Linked DNA regions of Stegostoma tigrinum. The protein of the gene in region 2 purifies or fractionates together with the protein of the main gene of each other region. This does not show direct contact. Links are inferred from orthologs where the notes say so. Each region holds a gene or a part of one and is shown on either strand. Other genes may lie near its edges. The genes, in order: sufu and gli2a.

Region 1 (10,541 bases), on a different chromosome or scaffold from region 2:
CTTGTTCGCCAAGCCAGCGAGTTTAATTCCATTCCCTATTTCCAATTCCTCCGCCTCCGCTGCATCTGTTCCCAGGATGAGGCATTCCACTCCCGCACATCCCAGATGTCCAAGCTCTTCAAAGCCTGCAACTTTCCCCCGGCAGTGGTCGAGAACACCCTTGACCGCGTCTCCCGCATTTCCCGCAACACATCCCTCACACCCCGACCCCGCCACAACCGCCAAAAGAGGATCCCCCTCGTTCTCACACACCACCCCACCAACTTCCGGATACAACGCATCATCCTCCGACACTTCCGCCATCTACAATCTGAACCCACCACCCAAGCCATTTTTCCATCCCCACCCTTGTCTGCCTTCCAGAGAGACCACTCTCTCCGTGACTCCCTTGTTCGCTCCACACTCCCCTCCAACCCCACAACACCTTCCCCTGCAACCGCAGGAAGTGCTACACTTGCCCCCACACCGCCTCCCTCACCCCCATCCCAGGCCCCAAGATGACTTTCCACATTAAGCAGAAGTTCACCGGCACATCTGCCAATGTGGTATACTGTATCCATTGCACCTGGTGTGGCTTCCTCTACATTGGGGAAACCAAGCGGAAGCTTGGGGACCGCTTTGCAGAACACCTCCGCTCGGTTCGCAAGAAATAGCGGCACCTCCCAGTCGCAAACCATTTTAACTCCCCCTCCCATTCTTCAGACGACATGTCCATCATGGGTGTCTTGCAGTGCCACAAGGATGCCACCCGAAGGTTGCAGGAACAGTAACTCATATTCCGCTTGGGAACCCTGCAGCCCAATGGTATCAATGTGGACTTCACCAGCTTCAAAATCGCCCCTTGCCCCACCGCATCCCAAAACCAGCCCAGCTCATCCCCTCCCCCAACTGCATCCCAAAACTAGCCCAGCCTGTCTCTGCCTCCCTAACCTGTTCTTCCTCTCACCCATCTCTTCCTCCCATCTCAAGCCGCACCACCATCTCCTACCTACTAACCTCATCCCACCTCCTTGACCTGTCCATCTTCCCTGGACTGACCTATGCCCTCCCTACCTCCCCACCTATACTCTCCGCTTCTCTCCATCTTCGCTCTGCCTCCCCCTCTCTCCCTATTTATTCCAGAACCCTCTCCCCATCCCCCTCTCTGATGAAGGGTCTAGGCCCGAAACGTCAGCTTTTGTGCTCCCGAGATGCTGCTTGGCCTGCTGTGTTTATCCAGCTCCACAATTTGTTATTTTAGTTTGATTGCAGATGTTTCTTCTTCAACAGTAGCACACTGGCCATGTTACCTAGCAAAGTTTCAAAATGTCTGCAACCAAACACACCAGCTCAGCAAGTCTACATCATCATCCACAACCCGAGTTACAAATCTTACAAAGACTTTAAATAGACCTTTCTTTATTTTATAAAATCTTCTATCAGGTCACTTCTCAACCTCCTAAACTCCAGTGGAAAAAAAAAGTCCCAGTCTATCCAGCATTTCCTTATAACTCAAACCTTTCATACCTCGTATATCCTGCTGAATACCTTCTGAACCCTCTCCAGATTGATAATATCCTTCCTATAACTGGGCAATCAGAACCGGACACTCTATTCCAGAAGAAGCCTCACCAACGTCCTGTACAATCTCAACATAATGTCCCAACTCCTATACACTAAGGACCAAGCAATGAAGGCATGTGTGCCAAACACTTTTTTAACCATCCTGTCTGTGTGTGACACAACTCTAAAGATTTGTATATCTGGACTCCTAGGTCCTCCTGTTCTACAACACCACCCAAGGCCCTACTATTAACTGTATAAGCCCTAGCCTTGTCAGCTGCACCAAAATGCAACACCTTGTACTTATCCATTTTTCAGCCCATTGACCCATTTGATAAAGACCCCTCCGTAATCTGCAGAAAGCCCTCTTCACTGCCTACGACGCCAACAACTTTGGTGTCATCCACAAACTTACTAACCATGCCTTCTATAATCTCAGCCAATCATTTATATAAATGACAAACAAAACAGGACTCATAACCGACCCCTGCGGAACACCGTCGGTCACAGGCCTCCGGCCCAAAAAGCAACGTTCCACCATTATTCTGTCTCCTTCCATTAAGCCAATTATGTAGCCAATTGGCAAGGTCACCAAGATTCCCATGTGACCTAACTTTACTATTTAGTTTACTATGTAGAACCTTGTCAAAGGCTTTACTAAAATCCAAATAAACGTCTGCTCCTCTGTCAACCCTTTTAGTAACTTTTTTCAAAAAACTCAGTCAAGTTTGTGAGACATGATTTTCCTCACACAAAACCATGCTGACTTTGACTTATCAATTTTTGCCTCTCTAAATGTCCATAAATCCTATCTTTTATAATCACCTCCAACAATTTACCTACAAGTGAAATCAGACTCTCAGGTCTACAGCTCCCCAGTTTCTCCTTACAACCCATCTTACACAAAGGTCCAATATTAGCCACCCTCCTGCCATCAGGCACCTCACCCAGTTATAGATGATACAGATATTTCTACAAGGAGTCTTGAAACTTGAAGGAGGAGGGGCTCGAGAAAGTTATATTCACTGGGGAGTTTGTGGATCTCTACAAATTTCTTCCTCACCAGTTATCATGCAGTCATTGTTTACCATCATGTAACTTCCCATAAAATCTAACAGAATTCATGATCTGTGCTGTATCAGGTAGTTAGGCCTTGAGATTAGAGAGAAAGGACACTAAAGATAAAGACAAAGCAAGTACCAACAATAAGAAGACAGTCAGATAGAAAGCAAATTTAGGTAGATTTGTGTACAAAGAGGTCAAAAGTTAGAATCGTCCTTTACAATTTCCCTTTATACATTCAATAGTTATTTTCCAAAATAATCAAACTTGCCAACATTTTTTGAATAAATTTATAGGCCAGCATAAAAAGACAAGACTACCCAAAACTACAGAATAGGACACATGCTGTGTAGGATATCCTAGCATATGGAAACAATAACATTCAAAATTAAATGCCTCAAGAGATCCAAATCCATCATTCAATGGATAGACCATCCTTGATCTGTATAGGGAAATATGTCCCAAACATAAAACCACAAGTGAACCCTACATTAGATGCATAGCTACTGAAATAAATCAAAACTTCTCCTTTCATCAAGTTCACAAGTGCTGAATGATACTCAGCAGAGGACAACTAATTTATGGTAACATAGTACAAATTGGTTTTTAACTAATATTTGAAATTCACACTGTCAATGAAAATACATGACAGTTTAAAATTCTAAATCAACTTTCATAAAATCTCAATTTATTCTTAGTCGTTTGTTAACGGATCAATATTTCTACCACACATTATAAAAAGGTGTTCAGTCAAATATTCTTAAGCAGGTTGAATTTTGACTATGTATTCTGCATTTTTTTTAAAAACTGCAGCAAAATTACTAATAGTTTTACCAGTTCAAGTTGAAAATTCTCAAAGGATGGTTTACTTTTGGAATTAGAGAAAATGATTGGATTTGCCTATGTGCTGATGATAAAAAGGCGTTTGCTGGCTACCGTTTTTTGTTGTGGAAAAATTGACTAGAAAAGACAAAAATTGTTACCCCTTTTTGTACCTTGTTTATTAGACCATTTCTCGTTGAAATCAACTCAAATGATAAAAACAAAAGTTCTTCCACAACGACGTGCATAGCAAGCTCCAGATACTTATGTAAAAACTGCAGTTGTTTATTTATAGTTTGCCTTAGGTAGGATGGTAGATCCAGTTCTGCAAAAAGGGTTAAACAGATGATATCGGTACAGAATGTATTTTCTGAATTTGGAAAGGTAAACAGTATAGCGCCAACTCCCATCATCAAAACACAAAATAATGAAAACATTCTTTTCCCCGAAGCTGCCATAAACTTTTTGAAAAGTGAGGGAGGGGAAAATTGAACTTTAAACATTGCAGAGAAAAAGTGTGCGTTTATATTCCTCAAATGGAAACCGTTTTATTGCCTTGATTTACACTAAGTTAATCGTTCTCGGGCATGGGGCCTCGGGAAACGGGCTGGAGACCAACCGGTGAGGAGAGAGCGCAGGAGTCGGGGACTTACCAGTACTTTACGATGGCGGTGACCTGCAGTGGGTTCGGCTGGTCCGAGTAAAGTCGTCTGCACTCCTGATAGATAGCGTGCAAACCCGGAGGCAGGAGCGCCGCAATGCCGGGGCCGCTAGGCCGCAACTCCTCCATCGGCTCGGCTGTCCCAGCGCCGGTCTACCCGGGAATGTTGTGGGTGTCCCTCGGCCTGAAGGTGGATCCTGTCTCTCTCTCTCTCTCTGGAATTCGGGCGTCCACCGCGCTCGACCCCAACGAAGCGTCAAACTCGTCAGCCGACCCGTCCTTCCGTTCCGGGCCAAGCCGTCCCCGCTCTCACCTCCCTTCCCCCCCCTCCTCCACCTCCCCCACCCGCCCGCGCTCGCGCTGATTCGCTCCGTAACCGCCGCCCGCTCGCGCCGCTGCGGCTGCCACCTGCCGCCCTTCCCCATGTCCTCCCCTCACGCTGCCAACTGCCCCTTCCCCCATGTTCCCCCCCTCACACTGCCAGCTGCCCTCGATGTCCTCTCCTCACATTGCCAGCTGCCCCCCCATGTCCTCCCCTCACACTGCCAACTGCCACCCTTCCCCATGTCCTCCCCTCACACTGCCAACTGCCCCTTCCCCCATGTTCCCCCCCTCACACTGCCAGCTGCCCTCGATGTCCTCTCCTCACATTGCCAGCTGCCCCCCCATGTCCTCCCCTCACACTGCCAACTGCCCCTTCCCCCATGTCCTCCCCTCACACTGCCAACTGCCCCTTCCCCCATGGCCTCCCCTCACACTGCCAACTTCCCCCTATGTCCTCCCCTCACACTGCCAACTGCCACCCTTCCCCATGTCCTCCCGTCACACTGCCAACTGCCCCCCATGTCCTCACCTCACATTGCCAACTGCCCCCATGTCCTCCCCTCACATTGCCAACTGCCCCCATGTTCTCCCATCACACTGCCAACTGCCCCTTCCCCCATGGCCTCCCCTCACACTGCCAACTTCCTCCTATGTCCTCCCCTCACACTGCCAACTGCCCCTTCCCCCATGGCCTCCCCTCACACTGCCAACTTCCCCCTATGTCCTCCCCTCACACTGCCAACTGCCACCCTTCCCCATGTCCTCCCGTCACACTGCCACCCTTCCCCATGTCCTCCCGTCACACTGCCAACTGCCCCCCATGTCCTCACCTCACATTGCCAACTGCCCCCATGTCCTCCCATCACACTGCCAACTGCCCTCCAAGTCCTCCCCTCACATTGCCAACTGCCACCCTTCCCCATGTTTTCCCTTCACACTGCCGATTGCTTCCCTCCCCCATGTCTTCCCCTCACACTGCCGACTGTCCCCTGACATCCCCTCACATTGCCAACTGCCCCCCCCATGTCCTCCCCTTGTGCTCTCAACAGTCCTCTGTCCATCATGCTCCTAAATCACTGCCCATCACGCTGCTGCTGCCAATTGAATGCTTGTCTGTTGCACTGCCAATGATTCCCCTACCCCTCGTTCCCAATCAATTCCTGTCCCTCATGTTGCCTGTGCTCAACTGTTCATTGCTGCCAACCAACCCCTTCACAGTACAGGTGCTAAGCTTCATTTGTCCCTCATGCTAGTTGTCCCCTTTACCATTAACTGCATTCCTGTTTCTCTCACTCTACCCGTTATCTTGTTCCTGACATTGTCCTACTATACCCTCCTTCCCACACTTACACTGTCTCTCTCTCTCTCTCGCTGCCCCTTGCCCTGCTGCTAATGCTTCTTGTCTAACCCTCCACAATGCTCCTTAAGCACTCTTGCCCTCTCCCTAATGATTCTATCTCACTTTACCTGTTGCTTTGCCTCACCACAAAATCCAAGCCATTTTAGTTATGCTGTCAATTCTGAAAGACAGTAGACTGACCATCGTGTTCATGATAAAAATAATAATTGAACATATTTACAAATAAATACCAGGACACAGTGGCTCAGTGGTAAGCACTGCTACCTTATAGCACCAGGATCTCAGGTTTGAATCCATCCTTGGGTAACTGTCTGTGTGGAGTTTGCACGTTCTTCCCGTGTCTGCATGGATTTCCTCTGGTGCTCCGGTTTGTTTCCACATTGCAAAGAAGTGCAGGTTATGTGGATTGGCTATTTTAAATTGTCATGTGGTATCCACGGGTGCCCAGGCTAGGGGGGTTATGAGCCGTGGTAGATGTGGGATGACAGGGATAGGGAGGGTCTGATGGGATGCTCTTCGGGTGGTGGTGCAGACTCAATGGGCCAAATGGCCTCTTTCTGCAATGTAGGGATTCCATGAAACACCCCACTTGATTGGCACTAAACCCATCACCTTCTGCATTCTTTCTCTTCACCACAGAAACACAGTGGCAACGGTGTGTAGCATCTACAAGATGTGCAGAACTCACCCAAAATTTTTTTGACAGCAGCTACCAAACTTGTGACCTCTACCATACAGAAGGACAGGGGCAGCAGATGCATTAGAACGCAACCACCCACAAGTTTCTCACCAAGCCACATACCATCCAGACTTGGAACTGCATCGCTATTCCTTCACTATTGCGGTGCCAAAAGCCTTTGACAATGTTCTTCATGGTAGACTGGTCAGTTTAGTTAGATCACATGGGATTCAGGGAGAGCTTGTCAATTAAGTACAAAATTGGCTTGACAGTAGGAGATAGAGGGTGATGGAGGAGGGTATTTTTTTTTCGGACTGGAGGCCTATGACCAGCGGTGTTCTGCAGGGATCAGTGATTAGTCTACTAGTGAATGTCATTTATATAAACAATTTGGATGGGAATTTAGGAAGCATGGTTAATAAGTCTGTGGCTGACACCAATGTTGGTGGTATGGTCGACAGTGAAGAAGGTTATCTAAGATGACAAAGAGGTCTTGATCAAATGGACCAATGGGCCCAGGAGTGGCAGCTGGAGTCTAATTTACATAATTATAAGGTATTTCATTCTTGTAAGGCAAATAAGGGCAGGACTTAGAGATAATGGGAACTGCTGCTGCTTGGCCTGCTGTGTTCATCCAGCTCCACACTTGGTTATCAGTTAATGATAGGGCCCTGGTTAGGTGCTTTCAAACAGAGACACCTAGGAGTTCAGGTACTAGTTGTTTGAAAGTTGCAACAGGATGTAAAGAAGACATTTGGCATGCCTGTTTCATTGCTCAGACCATTGAGTATAGGCGGTGAGACGTCATATTGCGGTAGTAAAGGATGTTGATGAGGCCACTTTTGGAATACTGTGTACAGTTCTAGTAACCCTGCTATAGGAAGAATATTGTTAAATTGGAGAGGGTGCATAGAAGATTTACAAGGATATCCCACTGCTGCCAACTATTGGGCGGCACAGTGGCTCAGTGTTTAGCACTACCTCACAGCACCAGGGACCTGGATTCGATTCCACCCTCGGGCAACTGTCTGTGTGGAGTTTGTACATCCTCCCTGTCTCTGCGTGGGTTTCCTCCGGGTACTCCGCTTTCCTCCCACGTTCCAAAAATGTGCAGATTAGGTGGATTGGCTATGCTAAATTGTCTGTAGTGTTTTGGGATGTATAGATTACGTGGGAGATGGGTCTGGATGAGATGCTCTGATGGCCGGTGTGGACTAGATGGGCCAAAGGGCCTGTTTCCATACTGTAGGGATTCTCTTCTTTGATTCTATTCTAAGGATGTTACCAGGACTGGAAGGCTTGAGTTGTGAGGTGATGCTGGATAGACTGGGACATTTTTCACTGGAGCATGGGAGGTTGAGGGATGACCTTTTAGACATTTATAAAATCATGAGGACAATAGATAAGGTGTATAGCAAAGGTCTTTTCCCTAGGGTTGGGGGGAGTTCAAGACCAGGGTGCATATTTTGAAGATGGGAGGAGAAAGATTTAAAAAGGACATGAGGGGCAACTTTTTTGAACAGAGAGTGATTCATATGTGGAATAAACGGCCAAAGGTAGTGGTAGACGCAGGTACAGTTACAACATTTAAAAGACATTTGGGCAGGTACATAAGTGGAAAGGAGCCAAACACAAGCAAATGGGACTGGTATAGTTTTGGAAACTTGGTAAGCATGGACAAGTTGGACCAAAAAATCTGTTTCTATGCTGTATTTCTCTATGACTGCACCTGTTTAAAGAGGCAGCTCATCACCACCTTTCGGACAATCATGGATGATTGATGGCCTATGAATTCCATGAATGAAAATGAAACACAGAAGCACCAATACAAAGTTGGTGATGGTACCAGAACTGAAGAAAACAATTATATGTTCCAGTACTTTTTATTCAGAATTGGTCTGAAAATTGTTCAGAGGAAACAATCTTATGTTTACCATGCTGCATTCTGTGATGTTTGCACATGAATAATGCAATTTCTAATTCAAATACTAATTGTGGAATCTAAGTCTAACTGAATGAAGCATATTGTGCTAAAACAGCATCGTATTTCAGCTCACAATCATTTTCAAAGATACAGTTCTAAATAACATAGTTGATGAGTATTCATACCTCAGCGTCATTGACATTGTAACCATGTAAAGACAGATTAACACTAACAACAAAGCATTCACTTCCTGATTTGGGCACAATCCAAATAACTTGCCTATATGCAAACTGATAGGTTCTTGACGTTTAACAATGCATGACAGTTTCCATAAGATCATAATAAGATTATAAGAAATAGGAACAAGAATAGCGATTTGGCCCCTCTGAGCTTGCTCTATCATTCAATAGAATTATGGCTGATTGAACATTCCTCATATCCACTTTCCTATATCTTATCGTGACCTTTAATTCCCTTATCAATCAAGAATTTATCTGTCTCAGCCTCAAATATACACAAATGCTCTGTCCCGGCAAGGAATTCCAAACTCCCACAACTCTGAGAGAAGAAAATTCCTCTTCATCTCAGTTTTGAATTGACACCCCTTTATTCTGAGAATATATCCTCTGGTCCTAGAGCCTCCCATGAGGGGAAACATCCTCTCAGCCTTTACCCAATCAAACCCCTTGAGCTTGCTGTATGTTTCAATGAGATCACCTCTCATTCTTCTAAATTCCAATTAATTGATTCCCAACCTATTTAGCCTTTGCCCATCAGACAAACCCTCGATACCAGGGATCATCCTAGTGAACCATCTCTGAACTGTGTCTATTGAGATAATATCTTTCCTTAAATAAGGGGATCAAAACTGCTCACAGTAGAGTTATAGAGCTGTACAGCATGGAAACAGATTCTTCAGACCAACTCATCCCTGCCACCAGATATCCTAAATTCATCTAGTCCCACCTGCCAGCATTTGAAACATGTCCCTTTAAACCCTTCCTATTCATGTACCCATCCAGATGCCTTTTAAATGTTGTAATTGTACCAGTCTCCACCATTTCCTCTGACAGCTGTTCCATACATACACTACTCTCTGCGTGAAAATGTTGCCCTTAGGTCCCTCTTGAACCTTTCCGTTTCACCTGAAGCCTATGCCCTCTAGTTTTGAACTCCCCTGTCAGTACTCCAGATGTCATCTCATCAGCACATTGTACAGTTGCAGTAAGACTTCCCTATGCTTATAATCCAAACCCCTCAAAAATAAGTGCCAATATTGCATTAGCCTTCCTGATTAGCCTTCCATATTAACATCTAATTATTAGTATTAAAAATAATAAAACCTTCTCAAATGCAGAATGAAAACATTGCTTCTGGTCTGTTGGATGTGAAAATGCAAAAATATAAGTGCAAGTCTTTTTTTACTGTTTGGTAACTGCTTCTGGTCCAAGAAATTCACTGATCATGGTATTCTGGCAACCAGAAGACTTATCTTGAACAACTTTTACTTTTCTTATTTGTGACAAATACAATACCTTATTATTGGAAATGGTTATACACACAAGGCTAAAGTGAACAAATCTGATGTACAAAACTTCAAGTCAGGCCACAGAAATCAACAAAGTACACTGATACTGTAAGGCAGCAGTTCCCAACCATTGCAGTATCAAAGCACACTTCAATGAGACAAACAATTCCATGGCAACACGCACTGTTTCATGTCACATGAGTCTACGCATGCACAGCTCTGGAGGCTTGTGCATGTGCAATTGATAGGGGCACGTAGTGTCAGCACATATTGCCTTCAATAATAGACACCCAAACTCTGGAAGAGATCAGAAGCTATGTACACAGCCTCAACACTCAGGTAAAGCAATGCTACTTCCTGAAAATTTTGTCATGCACTTCTCACTTTGTTGCAGCACACTGATTGAAAACCACTAGACCACGAGTAAGGACTCTCAGGCACAATCCAGTGTCAATAACTGTGGGCCAGAAAGTCTGTGTTCAAGATATGTCACAATGTGTCTGGACAGGTTGTTTAAAATATCCATACACCACAATTTGTGGGAAGGATTTGCAGCTTGAAAGTGTGTGGGTGTAAATATCTACATGTTTGAACAACTGTCTCCTAGGTTTCTCGACTTAATTCTCCTGTTCATAATCC
Region 2 (10,784 bases):
AATGGTAGAGTATGTTCCAGGTGCCAAGTAGCCTATTCATGTTACTCATGCATATCTTTGAATGTATGCAACTAATGGCATTGAATCTATCATTACTGTACCATGCTACCATATGTAAGAATCTTACTGTGGCACACAAAATGTTAACTTTGTGTAGTCACAGCATTGATAATAATTTAAGTTATGCTAGATAAGCTGCACAGTAACTCGCCATTTTCTCTAGTAGAACTAGTTATGTTCTTATTTAACAAAGAAATTGGATGTTAATTTAACGCGAGTTGGACACCCAGGTTGAGATATTTGTGTTTTTTGTTGCCAAGCAAGTTCCTGGAGGCAGAAGTTCCTCCAACATCTGTTAATGAAATCCATACAATCTCCGCCTTAGTTAGGGGATGAGGTAACACAGAATGGCACGACCACACTTGCAAAGTATGAAATATGAGTTTTCCCAGTCAAAGTATTAATAAGCATTCACTCTGGCAGCCGTATGGTTGTAACATTTTGGAAATAGATCATTTTTATTTTTAATTTTATCTGTTTTGACAGTTGCTGGGAGGGATTGATGCATGCCTGTGGAATTTTTGTTTTTCTTTAATTCCTAAGGTTCTGTATCTTTTTTATTTATTCAGTCAAAACCAGAAGAAGAAACAAATGCACAGCAGCAGATAAAACAGTGAAGAAGAACAGACAAGTGCAGACGAAATAAAAACTAGAAACAACTTGGAAGAGTATTTTGTACGGGTAACGTTAAGTGAGAAATTAAAAGAAGGATACGATGAAGTAATCAAGAAAAGAGAGGAAAGCAGAAATGTAGGATAAAGGAAACTGAATGGGAGAATTGTGCAGTTAAATTTCAACAAGTTGAGACTAAATTTTCCACTATCATTGAATGAATACATCTCTAGGATATCAATGCCAATACTAAGACGGTATATTTCAACCTTCATAACATGGCTCGACTCTGCTTCTGTTTCAGTTCATCTGCTGCTGAAAGCCTTCATACATGCCATTGTTCCCTCTATACGTGACTACTCAACATCCATTCCTTGCTGCTGATCCTGCATAAACTGAAGGTCATCTTAAATTCTGCCAACTGTAACTTTATTTGAACCAAGTTCTATTCACCTATCACCCCTATGCTGGCAGGTTTCCAGTTAAACTTGCTTTTAAAATTCTTAACCTCATTTAGAAATCTGCTCCTGTCATTATTATCTGTCCTCGCTGTTGGTGAAATCGGTATTTGCCACTTTTTAGTTCTTACTCCCCACTTTGGCCCTGTGCATTGAATTGCTCAAATAACAGCTGTATTGTCCACACTGTCACAAAACATGGACTTCAATCTGGTACTTCTTTGTTTTTCATTCAAAGAATCTGGTGTCATTGAGTAGGCCAACATTTATTGCTGATCTCTAATTCTCCTTAATGAAGTGGTGGTGAGCTGTCTTCTTAAACCACTACAGTTCATGTGGTGGCAGTACAGCCACAGTGCTGCTAGAAAGGGAGCTCCAGGAATTTTTCCCAGAGACTCTGAAGGGACTGTGACATAGTTCCACGTCCAAATAGTGAGAGGGTTGGTATTGAACTTGCAGATAGTGGTATTCCCTTGCAGCTGCCATGCTGAATTGCAGAAGTCATGGAAGTCTCTCGGTTTTGAAAGAGAGCATTCAGCTCACCAGTTCTTCAAATGAGCATCATTACCCAAAGCCAATCTATTGCTTTTTTCCCCAATATCCTTGCACATTATTTTTATTCAAAGGCCCTCTTGAATGAACCTGCTTCTTCCATGTGGTAATCTTGCAAATGGTAGAGATCATGGGTATGGAATGTGCTGTCTAAGAAGTCTTTGAAGAGCTGCTGCATTATATCTTGTAGATGGTACACACTGCTGCTACTATGCATCAGAAGTGGGGGGGAATTAAAATTGAAGTATTAGATGCCAGTCTAATTGACCGTTTTATCTTCAATGGTTTTGAGTGCTCTTGGAGCTGCACTCATCTAGGCCTGTGGTGAATTTTTCATCTTATTCCTGACTTGTGCCTTGTAGATAGAGGACAGTCTTTAAGGAGTGAGGATGGAATTACTTGCCACAGAATTATCTTCCTCTAATTTGCTCTTGTAGCCACAGTATTTATATGTGACATCCAAGAGGGCTTATGATGATTATTTAGATAGAAATAAAGAGTGTGTGTGGGGAGAAAGCCAGAGATTTGCACTAGGTAATGATGCTCTTGAGGAGTTAATGTAGACAGAATGGCCAAAAGGCCTCTTTATACATTGTAATAACTCTGCTTTGGCAATTATAAAGCCATTGAGTATCAAGGTTGATGACTGTACTCTGTCTTGTTGGATTTGGCCATGATCTAGCAGTCATGCAATGTGAATGCTACTTGCTACTTATCAGTCAAAACCAACATGTTGTGTAGGTTTTGTTGCATTTGTATATGGATTGGTTCAGTACCCAAGGAGTTGCAAATAGTACTGAATATGATGCAATCATCAGTGACCTTCCCCTACTATGATGAAGGGAAACTCACTGATGGAATAGATGTCACTGCTTGGGCTTAGAATCCTAACAAAGTCCTGCAGTGATGGCCTGTGGCTTCTGATCCACTGGATTCTCAGGACTAACAGAGAATTCCTACTGCCTGAAATATTAGACCATTGATTCTTCAGATGTTTGGCCACTCTCTGCTGGGAATGAACTCAGAAAATTTCAGTATGAGTTATTTTCCCACAGGAAAATAGGGAATATGCTCCAGAACATAGTCGCTAGGGATTTTTTAAATGGATTTGGTCAACATCTCTTTGCCAGATGAATGGTTTAAACTCCCTACGGAGAAAAATCAATAAGATATACATTGATTTTCTTCTTAAGTTACAATCATCAATAGCCAACTTTCAGGCTGAAGAATAGCAATTTGGACAATTTGAAAAATACAGGAAGAAAATGTTAACTTACACAGATATAGCATTTGAAAACTATCAGTATTCCTAATAGGTCTTAGTATAAAATGGTAAGTTTTATCTTAAGTAGTAGAATAAAGTGGATAATATCCAATAAGCCACCTTCTTCCATATTTCGCTCCTTATGTTCATTCTTTGTGACTTGTATCAGGAAAGATGTGCAACAAAAATACCCTCTAATCATTTGTAGTTGAAAGCCCATTGCACAATTTGGTTAGACAAAACATTAACTAAAGCAACTTCATTTACCTACTTATGGATGTAAAGGAATTAGAGGTAGTACGGTAATTGGACCAACTCTGCCATTGGATATTAGCCCCAAATCCAGATTCCTGCCTGCTCCTGATAAACTTTCATTATCTCATAGTTCAAGAATATGTCCACGTCAACCTTGAAATATTGTCAACCATTCAGCCTTCACAACTTTTGGAACTTTAGAATTTTGAGGGATAAGAACTTGTAAAGTGTAAAACCATCCTCGGTATAGTGCTGCATTAACATTTGAGTTTCAGGTATGTGCAAAAAATCCAATTACAATTGTGAAATGTTCAACGCAGAAGGCCACTGTTTATGTCACAATCTAAATCTGCCTGGAAATGATCAACTTCATTACTATTTTGAATACTTGTTTAAATCATAATGACTTAAATGCCACAATTAGCTTGGCTAATATCATAAAACAATGTGCTCAAAATGTGTATATACACACCTCACAATCTCATAATCAGCCAATGTGTGATATATTTACCAATTATAAAAATCACATCATCAACATCCCAGGAAATACCTTCAACCAGAAGCTTAACTGGATCAGCCATGTATGTATTGTAACTACAAAACCCAGGTTAGAGGCTGCGTAATCTGAGGTAAATAATTTGCATCCTGACTCTCCAGCTGTAAAGCACAAGTGAGAAGGATGATGAAATATTCCACTTGCCTAGACAAGAACAACACTCATGAAGATCAACACCATCCAGGACAAAATTAGTCTGCTTGATTGGCACCTATCCACTCACCCTCTCCAATGCTGATACGCCATGTCTGCACTGTGTACCATCTACAAGATGCAATGCAGCAAGGTTTCTGCTGCAGAACGTCCCAAATCTGTGATCTCTGCCACATCAAAGGAAAAGTTTAGCAAGCTAATGGAAATACCATTAACTTCAGGTTCACTGTCAAGCAACCCTGATTTGGAAATGTGGTGCTCATCATCACTGGGTTGAATTGAAACCTCAAAATATTGTTCGAGTATATTCACCACATGGACAGAGGCAATTCGAGAAGGACTCACCACCTTCTCTAAGCCAATTAGAGATGGGAAATAAATGCTGTTGTTCAAATTACACATAAAGGCCACATACTGTCAGAAGGGGCCAATTGTTTTCGATTGGACACAAGACATAAGACATTTCGATTACACTTAATAAGAGTATATTTATGGGTCTGTTCAATTTAGTTGACTAAATGTCAAATTACATGACTGTATTGTATAATCATTTGGTCTGATTGTATTATAGCTTTATAATATTCATAGATGATTACATTAGTTAATTTTAAATATAAATATTTAATTTTTCATATGCTGAATGATGTGACAGGATTTGAAAGGGTTGCCATCTGATTAAAACATAATTTATTGGTATATGATTTATAGTCGATATATAATTACAAAATATTTTAATTTCAGCTATTAGTGTACGCTGTATAATTAGATCAAGTGTAAGGATGAGATTGTATAGCTCTGAGCTTTGATGAGTTAATATTTTGTAAAGATTGTTTTATTAGCACATGACTGTAATGTGTTAGTCAGTTGGCAGAGTTCCATTCTGGGTCACACAGTTGGGGGTTGTCACCCTGTCCTTAAACTTGAGTGTATCATCTACCCTGACAGCTGAGTGCATCATGATGCTGATAGGTGTCCTTCAAATCTTGTCTGTACCTCCTATTTGGGAAAGATTGAAGAGGCCTGAATTCTTTACTCTTGAGAGAAGAAGGCTGTTGGTTGATTTTCCAGGCCTTTAAACTTATCAAAGAGTTTGAAAGGACAAACAAAATGACATTTCTGTTGCGTGAAAATCCAAAACTGGGGGTTATCAATATAGGATGATCACTAATAAATCCAATAAGAATTTCAAGAGGAACTTCACTTTTAAAAAGTGCTTTAGGGAAAAGTGAGTTAAATACCTGACAGTAAAGGAATAAGACGCTATGTGTAAAGACAAGCTGGAGGAGTTTCATAAACACAGGCAGAAACTAACTGGTTAGGTCAAATGTGTGCTATAACTTCTCGATAATTCGAATTATGTTCCTACAAAACCACAATCACTGGCATTAAAAGGAAAACAATAGTTGGAGGAGAATTAATGTTTTATTCTGAAAGTTGGTATATCAACTTAATGATGTTGACGAAAATAATGTTGCACGTTGCAGATTTAGGTTTTGTTGACAATGTTCCGAGCCATGAAAATCTGCAGTCTTGTAACCCGATATAAGACACGTTACCACACTATGGCTGTAGCTGTTTTAACAACCGCAATTGTTTATTAAAGACAAGCTGAGTAGCTATTGTTGGAAGCAAATACTCGAGGGGTTTGCGCTCTTCCTGCTCCTCCTCACTTAGCCAGCAGGTAGCAGGGGATGGCGCCTCCGCGTTCCTTCACAAGAGTTGGGTTCGTCCAGAATTGAATGGTAACGCCAGCAGAGGACAGCAAAGCACAAAAATAGGGGGAGCTATCAGTGCCAGTGAAATCAGACAGAACTGCTCGAAAAGCCAGAGTTCTGGGTTCACATACAGCCCTGTACAGTCCGACAATAAACGATCCTGAAGCGAAAACATTGTGTTTAGGCTTCTACACATCTAGTTGAGTCTGAATTGTAATAAATCATCACAATTATTTGATCTCGTCTTTTATTTTAATTGAGAAGTGGAGATTGGACTAAGTGTAAGGTTTCTCCTAAGTACCATAAAAGATGTAAATATAGTGTTAAAAATGTGTAGTACAAATTACAAAACGCAATGCTAGAATTTGGAATAATTTATTTTGGTCAGCATGCTTGCAAATTTTTTTTTAAAAATCGGCATTGCTTTTTTTTCATTACAAAGCAAGTTTGGTATTTGGAGAACGCAGATAGAAAAGACGGCGAGAAACATATACACAAACGAGTTGGATGGAGAAAAACTTTTGCCAAATCCATTCCTGCGTGTCTGAAAGTGCGTTTTTGGCAACAAAGCGCTTTGAGTAACTAACGTTGAGGACTCACCGGGGAGAAGGAGTGAGATAATCAGATAAGAGAGAGGGGAGGGGAGGGGGGACAGGAGTAAGTAATTCAGGGACTGCCTTTTCTGGAGCTGAAAACTGCGAACTGGTGAGGCAGAGGGAGGAAGAGAGAGAGAGAGAGAGAGAAAGTTTGTTGAATTGTCCACTCTCCTCCCTCTTTCTGCGCGTTGAGTCGAGAGGGGAAAGTTTTTTTTGCCCTCCTGTATCTTGTCTGAAGAATCGCAGTACAGACACGCCGGCAGCCGCCCCAACTCGCCAAACTCTGCGACTGAATTCATTCCTTTTATTCTGCAAAAAAAGAAAAATACACACGCTGAGAGAGACCGGCTCCCGGATTTCTTTGCTTTCAGATCTTTTGGAGAGCTTTAAAGCGTGGATTTTTCTTTGTTTTTGTTTGCAAAAAGCGTCCTATCGTTGATGATAACGGTTCCACGAGTTTTTTTTAAACAAATCTTCTGTATAAGTTTGTTTTTGTTTTGATATAGTTATTTCTTCCAGTTTGAAGCCTTTCAACAAATGATCAGATAATCAAAACAGAAGCTCTTCATTACAAACAGGTAACGTTTTGTATTTACCCCTCCTGTTTTTAGTTGAGAGAATGGTACCTCTGTGTTTACCGAAGACTGCATTGCTATTGTAATCATCATTTTTCAAAACTTTAGCGGTCCCTGTTTGGCTCGGCTGTGTGTTGGGAAGTTGGGGTAGTTGGAATTATGATTCACAGCAGACCGTGACTTTAGCAATCAAATGCCCTCAAAGTTTTCATTTTGCTTCAAAGCCCCATTGCCCCGTGTCGACTTTTTTTAAAATTGTATTTCTAACCCATTCCAGCTCCTGCCTCCTTTTGTCCCATTTTACCTTTTATGGAATTCCAAAAATGTTCTGCTTTTTGCAACCTGATCCCATTTTTTTTTCTCTCTGGATGAGTATTTGGTTAAGAGTCGGGCGCCAGTCTCATTACGGAGTTAAAGGGGAGAATCGGGGGAATTTGTGCGAGACCCAACCCAGAGTTTCCAGTGTGACTGTGTGCGTCTTGCGGGGGGATGGAGGGGAAAAAGTTGGACCGGCCAGTTTAGCAACTTTTTTTTGTTGTCATTGTCAGCCGAGTTCGTGCAGTTTTGTTTTCTCCGACAGTAATGGATGTTATGCATGGGATTCACTTGCTACCTTTGCATGTGTCATTTTTTTCTGAGCTTTTTAAGGAGTCCCGTGTTTACATAAAAGACTATTTTAGGGACCAAAGTGTGACAGTAAATGCTCTTTCTGCCAAACCCTACTAAACTCTCTGTAACTAGCGATGCAAAGACCACGGACAGAATGCAACTGGTTTTTTGTTTGCTGCATGAAGCACTTAGGAATTATTTCCCTCCACCAGTAAAATTATTTTAATGATGCATTTTCCCCAGTCTTGCCCTGGAATTAATTGCACGTTTTGGCACCACTCGCAATTAAGAAGCGCAAACCTATTTTAATTACACGTTTACTTTCACTGAGCGATCGTGGTGTGTTGCCTGACAGGAGTATATCGTTCTGACTCGTGGTAAAATTTGGTCCCTTTTCTTAAACAGTTCAGTTCAAATGAGATCAACTTTGCCACACTTAAGGTCAGAGTGGCTCTTAAAGGGATAGTGCTCCCGGGATATAACAAAAAGATGATGGTTGTGAGGTGTTACTTTTATGTAATGACTTTCAAAGCAGTTGTTGTAATTTTACACGCACAGGTCTTATATGTGTATATTCTATGTGGGTATGTGTGCTGACCAATAACGGCCTCTGTCCAGTTGGCAGAGTGATAATTGACACAACCCTTCAGTGCTATCTGAAATACACACATTGCTAAAATTCTTTGTGCTCCTCTGAGACCCGTATCACATCAATTATGGAGCCAATTTAATTGTACAAACACACCACGGCCAGAGCATTTGCTCTTAAAATACACCGGGAGAGTAGAAAACATTTTGGCTCACTCATGTAAAAGTTTTCTCCTCAGAAGTTTCCATTTCTGGGAACACTGAATCCTGAATTGGGTCCAACTTGCATTTCTCACTGGCACCAATTTGACCTGGTATAGACCATCTTTGGTTTCCAAAAATGCTTTGTGTGTGCATATGCAGGCAGCGCTCATTCTGCCCTGTAAGCTAAGCATTCCAGCCTCTAATGCTCTTTTAAGGATGATGCAGCTTTTAAAAGAGTTGAATTTATATTTACATCCACGTTATGAAACATTTTCAAAGTGAATACCTAGTCAGTCCTCAGTGGACGATGAAGTAATGTGTTCCTTCGCTAAGTATAGAAGCATTCTGAATAGATCTAATTGTTTGATTCACAGTTAAATTCTCATACTGTTTACTGTGTGCTGTCAGGTCATTTTCAAAATGGAATATAAGGTCGGATAACATGAAACATAAATTCAGACAAGTTGTTCAGATCAGCTGTGTTTTGTTAAAAGAGTCAGTTCATTGGAACTGGCTTAATTAAATGGTGTTCATTGCTTACAATGTCATTAAAGCATCAGCGTCTTGAAAATGACCTTTGATACAAATGTTTACTCCTGTTTACAATTTGTGGTGTGTTTTTAAAAACAGTTTATGGTGTATCTGAAGCAATTTGCGTGACTGATGCTTCTTAGTGCCACAGAAGCATTTTAAATAATGGTAGATTCGACATGTGGAAACATTGGTTTAATAATCTTGCACGTTTGCTGGAGCTCAAGTTTTTTTTCCAATAATGTAGATGTAGCAGTAAGCAAGCCTCTGGAAAAGAAAATCATCCTCTAGCTCTCTCACTTGATCTGCAGCACTGTTCTGTAATTTTAAATACTGAACTCGTCTGGCAGTTACTTTTTAAGTTTTTGCTCCTGGCAAGTAAAAAGAGGCTACCACAGAAGTTGAGCTCAGTTTACACAGTGGCACGCTTATATATCTATAAGATGTACACCCAAGTGCCCTTGATACTCTTGAATGTACTACTTTACAGTGAACGATTGACGCAGTGATAAGGTAGAACAGTAGGTGTATCATACCAATGATTGTGATTTTGAATGAACACATCATTATGCTGTGCTAATAGTAGCAGAATGGATACAAGTTTTGTGGGCACTTGGAGCTGTATTACGTAGAGATCTTATGATGAAAAGCATGGGAAACCCCACACATATTAACTTCCTTAAAAGCCCTCCCGATCTGGGTGCATATACGACACCCAGTGCTGACAACACCATTTAGATGGCATTCTACTGGTCACTTATTTACTGCAGTCAGACCACAAGAACAAAGTAAATAGGAGAAGGAGGAGGCCATTCAGCCTGTCAAAACTGATATAACAATCAAATAGATCACACTGATCTTCTACCTCAATGCCATTATTCTGCACTGTCCTTACATCTCTCAATATCCCAGAGTCATAGACTCATAGACATGTACAGCACAGAAACAGACCCTTCGGTCTCACTCGCCCATGCTGGTTAGATACTAAAGTAGTCTAGTACCATTTGCCGGCGTTGGGCCCATATCGCTCTAAATCCTTCCTATTCATGCATTCTTCCAGATGTCTTTTAAATGTCGTAATTGTACCAGACTCCAGCACTTCATCTGGCAGTTCATTTAATACATACAGCACTGTTTGCATGAAAATGTTGCCCCTTAGGTCTCTTTAATATCTTTCCCTTCTTATCTTAAACTTATGTCTTTTAGGTTTGGACTCCCTTACCCTGGAAAAAGACCTCAGCTATTCACCCTGCCCATGCCCCACATGATTTTATAAAGCTCTATAGGTTCATCCCTCAGGCTGCAATGTTGTCTTTAATATCTAGGAATGGATTAAACTCCAACTTGAACACCTCAATGACTGGACATCCCAGCCCTGTGGCCAAGAATTCCAAAGGTTCACCATCTGCAGAAGCTATTTTTCCTCACCTCAGTTTTAAATGGCCTGTCTCTTGCAGTGTTCCTGGAACTCGTAATGATTATTACTGTTGGACTATTCTGTAGTTGATGGATCATGCTGAAGGTCATAAAATAGCTCTTCAGATTGTCTTGCATTGCCCTTTTTAAGGCGAATGTTAACTGCTAGCGCAGTGCCCCACAAAATGCAGCACCACAGAATGTGCAGTGTGCCTCTTGCTAAGTTAATGCCACAAGTTAACTGAAAAGCTACAGCAATATTTGCTCCAAGTTTTCACACCACTTAGTGTCTTATCAATATGTGGAGCCTCTGTCAGTGGATTGCAGTTTCAGATGCAGCCTTCTGTGAAATCTGTTAAAATTTGTTTCGTAAATCTGAGCAGCAGGCTTTGCATCTACTGGTTCAGTGAAATCTTTCAGTTATTTTGCTTTCAGTTTTTCGGTCATTCTTCAATTCTGATTAAATTTTGTTGTTGTGCACAGATGCCCTAGCCATGGTGACATAGTTACCGACACTGGCACTATTGATTTAGTAGCTTGCGCTCTAAATAATTATACAAAAAGATTGCTAATCTGATAAAGTAATTTGCAGGATAGTTTAGCAATTGTTAGTGTCCCTTACCACTAGCTTTGGAAGAAA

The links.
Region 1: the proteins of gli2a (region 2) and sufu purify together in Homo sapiens (affinity purification with mass spectrometry; 3 studies listed by BioGRID and IntAct, with this or other methods). This does not show direct contact. The link is inferred for Stegostoma tigrinum from reciprocal best matches to the Homo sapiens genes GLI2 and SUFU.

What each region holds. Positions count from the first base shown.
Region 1 is NC_081373.1:7,322,886-7,333,426, reverse strand, and holds the start of sufu (suppressor of fused homolog), read right to left. Parts: upstream 4,400-10,541; 5' UTR 4,217-4,399; coding exon 4,080-4,216; intron 1-4,079. UniProt on the Homo sapiens protein: Negative regulator in the hedgehog/smoothened signaling pathway. Down-regulates GLI1-mediated transactivation of target genes. Down-regulates GLI2-mediated transactivation of target genes. Part of a corepressor complex that acts on DNA-bound GLI1.
Region 2 is NC_081360.1:88,740,213-88,750,996, reverse strand, and holds the start of gli2a (zinc finger protein GLI2a), read left to right. Parts: upstream 1-6,355; 5' UTR 6,356-6,799; intron 6,800-10,784. UniProt on the Homo sapiens protein: Functions as a transcription regulator in the hedgehog (Hh) pathway. Functions as a transcriptional activator. May also function as transcriptional repressor. Requires STK36 for full transcriptional activator activity.